2 linked regions of the Macaca fascicularis genome follow. The protein of the gene in region 2 binds, or shares a complex with, the protein of the main gene of each other region. Links are inferred from orthologs where the notes say so. Each region holds a gene or a part of one and is shown on either strand. Other genes may lie near its edges.

Region 1 (4,483 bases), on a different chromosome or scaffold from region 2:
AGACAGAATCTCGCTCTGTTGTTCACTCTGGAGTGCAGTGGTGCAATTTCAACTCACTGCAACCTCCACCTCCCACGTTCAAGTGATTCTCATGCCTCAGCCTCCCGAGTAGCTGGGACTACATGCACATGCCACGATGCCTGGCTAATTTTTGTATTTTTAGTAGAGATAGGGTTTCATCATATTGGCCAGGCTGGTCTTGAACTCCCAACCTCAGGTGATCTGCCCACCTCAGCCTCCCAAAGTGCTGGGATTACAGATGTGAGCCACCATGCCCAGCCTAACCTTTCATTTTAAAGTATTAAAGAGCTTAGGCCTGTTAGTCCAAGATTTGAACACCTGTTGGCCACATGATCTTGGCCAATACACTTAACTTCTTCTAAGCTTCAGCTTCTGTAAAAAGCACCCACTGGCCGGGGGCAGTGGCTCACGCCTACAATCCCAGCACTTTCGGTGGCTGAGGCAGGCAGATCACCTGAGGTCAGGAGTTTGAGACCAGCCTGACCAACATGGAGAAACCTCATCTCTACTAAAAATACAAAAATTAGCTGAGCGTGGTGGCGCATGCCTATAGTCCCAGCTACCTGGGAGGCTGAGGCAGGAGAATCACTTGAACCCAGAGGCGGAGGTTGTAGTGAGCCAAGATTGTGCCACTGCACTCCAGTCTGGCGACAGAGCTAAACTCCATCTTAAAAAAAAAAAAAAAAGGAAAGCACCCACCTTTTAGTCATTGTGAGTCTCTGCACTTCACCTGGCCCACAGTCACTACTCAATCAACACAGGCTTTTATTGTTATGACTATTAATGTTGACTCTTGCCCTCTGAGTTGGGCAGGGAAGATTACCATACAATTTGAAAGTGCAGCACAAGAAGTAAAGTGATGGCTAGGCGTGGTAGCTCACACCTGTAATCCTAGCGCTTTGGGAGGCCGAGGAAGGCAGATTGAGCTCAGGAGTTCGAGATCAGCCTGGGCAACATGGCAAAACCCTATCTCTACTAAAAAAATACAAAAACTTAGCCGGCAATGGTGGCACCTGCCTTTAGTCCCAACTACTTGGGAGGCCGAGGCAAGAGACTCACTGGAACCCAGAAGGCAGAGGTTTCAGTGAGCCAAGATGGCACCACTGCACTCCAGCCTGGGCGACAGAGCAACACTCCGTCTCAAAAAAAAAAAAAGAAGTAAAGTGACTTAGCTGAAGGCACAGTTATGAAGTGGAGCCAGGACCCAACCCAGATCTACTGAGAGACTACCCCAATGCCTCCCCTACGTATGGTCTCACCTTGTTGACCTGAGTTACAACAGCATCCACGACCTCCCCTTTAAAGGGCCGGAAAACAATGGCCTTGTACTTAACTGGATAAAGGACAAAGCCTCGGCCTGGCTGGATCACACCAGCACCAATATTGTCAATGGTGGTGACAGCAATTACAAAGCCATACCTGCAAGGAGGATGAGAAACAGAAAGACATTGTGTGTCCAAGAGCCTCTAGAGACATCTGCAATAAAAGTCACTGAGCTCTTGGGAGTAGTGTCGGGGAGAGCAAAAGGACAAGTAGATAGCACCTCTGCTCCCAGAGAGCTTAATGACCAAGAGAAGACAGAACACAGATCAGTATGGGCTGGGCGCGGTGGCTCAAGCCTGTAATCCCAGCACTTTGGGAGGCCGAGACGGGCGGATCACGACGTCAGGAGATCGAGACCATCCTGGCTAACCCGGTGAAACCCCGTCTCTACTAAAAAATACAAAAAACTAGCCAGGCGAGGTGGCAGGCGCCTGTAGTCCCAGCTACTCGGGAAGCTGAGGCAGGAGAATGGCCTGAACCCGGGAGGCGGAGCTTGCGGTGAGCTGAGATCAGGCCACTGCACTCCAGCCTGGGCCACAGAGCGAGACTCCGTCTCAAAAAAAAAAAAAAAAAAAAAAGAACACAGATCAGTATGTATAAGACCAAATGCTGTTCTGGTAATTTCACAGTAAATGTACAAGAAGGCTGGAGTCCTTGAGGAAACAGATCTCAATCTTCGGGATGCCTGAGAATCATCTTCTTAAAATGCAGATTCTCAGGTCTGCCTCACAGAGTCTTGATTCTGTAGGGAATAAGGAGGCTCAGGAATCTGCATGTTCCTGCAGGTTTTTCTGATGCTGGAGGCCCAAGTACTCCACTGCCCTGGGCTGGGTCCCAGCTCATTAATATCACAGAAGGCCCTCAGTGCAAAGCCCAGAGATGGTCAAGTCCCAGTCTACTTCCTTCCTCCCCCAAACTTTCGATCCACTTTTTCTGGTCATCCATTCAGAAGATATATAGAGGCCCACGGTGTGTGGTCCCTGGACACAGGGGATAAGAGAAAACCAGCAGAATGACAGAGTGAGAGGAGACACAGGAACAATGACTACACTGTGAGCTCCACAAGAGCTGGCCTCATTCTATCTTGTTCCCATTCTACCTTGTTCTGAGCCCAACACGGGTCCTGGCACACACCAAGTGTTTTTAAAATGTCTGAGGAGTAAATGAATGAATGACCAATCTCAGCTGAGGGAAGGAAGTCTTATTGTCCAGCATTGCAGAGGGCGCCCTGGGAACCCAAAGCAGGAAGCAACTGGCTGCCTGAGAGGGTGAGCGGGGTCCCTAGAGTGGGTGGCAGGACTAAATAGGAGTTGCGGAGGGTTTGCAGGTATAGCGACCCGTGTGCGCATCGAACGATCTGGCGGCACGGTGAGCTCGGCACTCACTTCCCTGTGCAGGTCCCCTCCACTTCGGTGAAGAGCTTCTGCTTCACCGTGTTGAGCAAGTTGGGGCCGAAGTAGCGCGGGTGCAGCAGGATTTCGTGCTCTAGGGAGATCTGCGGAGAAAAGAGGGATGGCGACCAGGCCACGCGCTGGGAGCTTATCAGACGACAAGGGGAGCCTCGCGCCGGCGCCTGGCCTTGCTCCTCCTTTCCACCCAGCCCTTGCCGCCACCCTGGGCCCTGCTCACATGGTAGAACATCTTCCCAGAGCATGAAGGCAGGAACAGTCCACACCTCCGACCGCCCCTGGGAATCTACCGGAAACACACTTAGCCGCCGCAACCCCAGTTCCGCGCCTGCTGCGTCGTTGAGAGCGGAACTCCACCTCCTCAGCGAGGGCGGAACTCCACCTGCTCCACGGGTCTGATTGGGCCTTGTAGCCGTGGGCGTGAACCACTAAGCCCCGCCCCTCACCACCGCCCCGCCCCCCCACCGGCCATCAAACCACAACTCTCTTTTTTTTGTTTTGAGACGGATCTGGCTCCGTCTCCCAGGCTGGAGTGCAGTGGCGCGATCTCGGCTCACTGCAAGCTCCGCCTCCCGGGTTCGGGCCATTCTCCTGCCTCAGCCTCCCCAGTAGTTGGGACTACAGGCGCCCACCACCGCGCCCGGCTAATTTTTTGTATTTTTAGTAGTGACGGGGTTTCACCGGGTTAGCCAGGCTGGTCTTGATATCCTGACCTTGTGATCCGCCCTCCTCAGCCTCCCAAAGTGCTGGAATTACAGGCGTGAGTCACAGCGCCCGGCCAATTTTGTGTTTTTAGTAGAGATGGGGTTTCTCCATGTTGGTCAGGCTAGTCTCAAACTCCCAACCTTAGGTGATCCACCCACCTCGGCCTCCAAAAGTGCTGGAATTACAGGCGTGAGCCACTGTGCCCGGCCAGCAACTCTCTGAATTGCTTGAACCTGGGAGGCCACTGCACTCCAGCCTGGGCAACAAAAGCGAAACTCCATCACAAAAAATAATAATAAATAATAGCTACCACTTACTGCTTTCTTCCTAAATGCCAGACACTGTGTTAAGCCCTTTATATAATTATCTCCCTTAATTCTCATAATAATCTACAGAAATTGGTGTAGAAATAACAAAAAATTTACATGAGCCTTAGTCGAAAGGCCAGGAAACTACAGAAAATAATGAAATTTAGGCTGAGCGCAGTGGTTTACGCCTGTAATCCCAGCACTTTGGAAGGCGGAGGCGGGCAGATCATGGGGTCAGGAGATTGAGACCATCCTTGCTAACACGGCGAAACCTCGACTCTACTAAAAATACAAAAAATTAGCCGGGCGTGGTGGCATGTGCCTGTAGTCCCAGCTACTCAGGAGGCTGAGGCAGGAAAATCGCTTGAACCCGGGGGGCGGAGGCTGCGGTGAGCTGAGATCGCGCCACTGCACTCCAGCCTGGCAACAGAGCAACACTAAGAAAGAACGAAAGAAAGAGAGAGAGAGAAAGAAAAAATTTAAAAGCTATTGCAATCCCAAAAAATATTTTAAGCCTCGAGAGAGATATGACTGTGAGTCACATATAGTTTACAACTTCTGTTCTCAGATTATAGATTAATTCACTTTCTTTTTTTTGAGAGGGAGTCTCGCTGTGTCACCCAGGCTGGAGTGCAGGAAATCCATGACTATTTCATCCTCTGTTAAAAAAATGTTACATACCCCCGGCACCATGGCTCACGACTGTAATCCCGGCTA
Region 2 (2,720 bases):
CCAACATGGTGAAACACCATCTCTACTAAAAATACAAAAATTAGCCGGGCGTGGTGGCGGGTGCCTGTAATCCCAGCTACTCGGGAGGCTGAGGCAGAATTGCATGAGCCAGGGAACTGGAGGTTGTGGTAAGCCGAGATTGCACCATGTACTCCAGCCTGAGCAACAAGAGTGAAACTCTGTCTCAAACAAAACAAAACAAAAACACATTAGCCAGGCATAATCGTACATGCCTGGCTGAGCCATGAGTTCAAGGCTCGCCAGGGCAATACAGTGAGACCTCACCTCTACAAAAAATTAAAAACTTAGCTGGGCGTGGTGGTGTGCACTACTTGAAAGGCTAAGCGGGGAGGATGGCTTAAGCCCGGGAGGTGGAGGGTGCAGGGAGCTGAGACAGTGGACACTGCAGTCCAGCCTGGGCAACAGAGCAAGACCCTGTCTCAAAAACTAAAAAATAAAAATAAAACCATGAAAGTTGGGACCAAAACATAAGGAACAAGACATTTATCCCTAGCAGAATAGCAGATCTAAAAAGGAAACAAATCTCAGCAATTTATTTTTTTATTTACTGAGACAGAGTCTCACTCTGTTATCCAGGTTGGAGTGCAGTGGCGTGGTCTCGGCTCACAGCAACCTCCACCTCCCAGGTTCAAGTGATTCTCGTGCTTCAGCCTACAGAGTAGCTGGGATCACAGGTGCCTGCCACTATGTCTGGCTACTTTTTCGTGTGTGTGTGTGCCAGGATCTCATTCTGTCACCCGGGCTGGAGTGCAGCGGCACCATCAAAGTTCACTGCAGCCTTGAACCGGGCTAAGAATCCCAGGTAGCGGGGACTGCAGGCGCGTATCATCACACCCAGCCCAAACTGAAGACTTCCTGGGCTGTGCGGTGGACAAGTCATGGCTATAGAGAGAACTAGGGGAGTGGAAGGGAGAACTGTGGAAGTGGGGAGCACGGGCCCTTGGTCAGTGTGAGGGAGGCTGAGCCAGGAGAAGGAGGACAGTAAGAAGGTCTAACAGGCATCTGAAGATTCCAGGAGGAGCCAGAGGAGGAGATGGCTTAACCTTTCCAGAATTGCTAACTATGGGGCCCTGGGAGTCAGGGAGCAGGATAGTGAAGGGGCAGTGAGAGCCTGAGTTCTGGGGGCAGGGCTGTGTGCCGGACAGCGCCTCACTCTAGGATGGCGAAGGGGCAGTGAGAGGCTGAGTTCGGGGGCAGGGCCGTGTGCCGGACGGCGCCTCACTCCTTGAGGGAGAAGTGCATTTTGTCGTTGACCATCTTGCGCTCGGGGTTGAGGCGCTTGAGGATCTGGGCCAGCACGTTCACCGTCTGCTCGCTGCTCAGCCCTGTCTTCTTGGTCTGGAACTTTTTCAGCAGGTCCTTAGTGGTCATGGGCTTCCGTGTCAGGTAGCGGCGCACGGCATCCTCAGTCACCTGCACGTCGCTGAGGATGGGAGGGCGGGGAAGGTGGCATCAGTGAGCTTGTCCCCGGTAGCGCTTGCCCTGCCCCCTGCCGTCCTCATCAGCTTACCCGCTACTGGGTGTTGACTTGCCCGATGGCGGCTGGGGGGTCGACTTCCCGGACAGGCTCTGGGGCCCCGCGTCCAGCCGCAACCGCTTGGCTGCAGGCATCTCGCTCACCCGCTTCCCTGTGGGAGTGGGGTCAGGGCTGAGTCTTGGGGGCAGGAGGCCGAATCCCTGAGCAGGACCCCAGGCTGGGCAGTGCCAGGATGAGGGTTCAGGGGGATTGGGGACAGACAGGCCTCCACCCCCATCTCCATCTCCTCTCTGTCTTAAGCCCCAACAGAGGTCGGGAGGCCGTGGCTGTGGGAGTGGGGAGGCCACAGGCGCTCACCTTGCTCGAGCTTGCTGGCAGCCGCCCGCAGGGTGGAGGAGGTGCTGCCGCCCTCTGCGCTGGGCGTGCCTGGGCGGCTGTTGCCCCTCGAGCTCCCTCCCGACGGCTTCCGCTCTCTCTTGGGTGGCGTCTTCTTCTTCTGCGGAGGTCAGGGTGGGGTGAGGGGTGTGAGTCTGGAAACAGACGCCCAGGCCTCCCCTGTCACCGGGCTGGGCCTTACCGCCATGAAGAGGGCCGAGGAGGCCTCGCTGTCAATGTCGCTCTCCTCTGAGCTGTCCGACTCCTCGCTGCTGTCTGCGGGGCACAGGAAAGGGGTCAGGGCCAGAGCAACCCTGGGACCCGGCATCCACCGGTACCTCCACTGCAGATGAGGGAGGCCTGCAGGGGAGAGGGGAGGAGGCAGCAGAGCACCAGGCCCTGACCCGAGCCTCCAACATGGGCCACACCGGCCGCACCTTTCCTGCGCTTCTTCTCCTGCGGGGTGGGCGCCTTCTTCTCCTCCTCCTCCTCCTTGTCCTCCTCGGGTGGCTTCTCCTCCTCACTCTCCTCGCTACTGTCACTCTGCTCATCAACACCTGGGGGGACAGGGTATGAGCAAGAGCAGAGACGCACTGCCCGCATCTCCCCCCGCATCTCCCCGGGGCCCGCCCAGCCGCCGCCTACCCTTGGGCCCCTCCTCCTGCTGGGGCGGCTTGGCCTTGCTCTCAGGCTCGTCCTGGGAGCTGCTGTGAGACAGGGGCGGCAGAGGGTGAGTGCGCGCCCGCAAGGCCGCACGGGGTCTCGCAGCCGCCTCGCGTCGGCCTCACCTGGAGCCATCCGACATGTAGTCCACCTCCTGGCCCTCGAAGTCCCCATCGTCGCTGTC

What was found.
Region 1: GTF2F1 (region 2) and POLR2G share a complex: the UniProt entries of both Homo sapiens proteins name them as parts of the TBP-based Pol II pre-initiation complex. The link is inferred for Macaca fascicularis from reciprocal best matches to the Homo sapiens genes GTF2F1 and POLR2G.

Annotation. Positions count from the first base shown.
Region 1 is NC_088388.1:11,291,552-11,296,034, forward strand, and holds the start of POLR2G (DNA-directed RNA polymerase II subunit RPB7), read right to left. Parts: upstream 3,084-4,483; 5' UTR 2,999-3,083; coding exon 2,730-2,998; intron 1,441-2,729; coding exon 1,281-1,440; intron 1-1,280. UniProt on the Homo sapiens protein: Core component of RNA polymerase II (Pol II), a DNA-dependent RNA polymerase which synthesizes mRNA precursors and many functional non-coding RNAs using the four ribonucleoside triphosphates as substrates.
Region 2 is NC_088393.1:7,158,736-7,161,455, forward strand, and holds the end of GTF2F1 (general transcription factor IIF subunit 1), read right to left. Parts: coding exon 2,662-2,720; intron 2,581-2,661; coding exon 2,519-2,580; intron 2,431-2,518; coding exon 2,311-2,430; intron 2,150-2,310; coding exon 2,076-2,149; intron 1,995-2,075; coding exon 1,856-1,994; intron 1,650-1,855; coding exon 1,532-1,649; intron 1,445-1,531; coding exon 1,240-1,444; 3' UTR 546-1,239; downstream 1-545. UniProt on the Homo sapiens protein: TFIIF is a general transcription initiation factor that binds to RNA polymerase II and helps to recruit it to the initiation complex in collaboration with TFIIB. It promotes transcription elongation.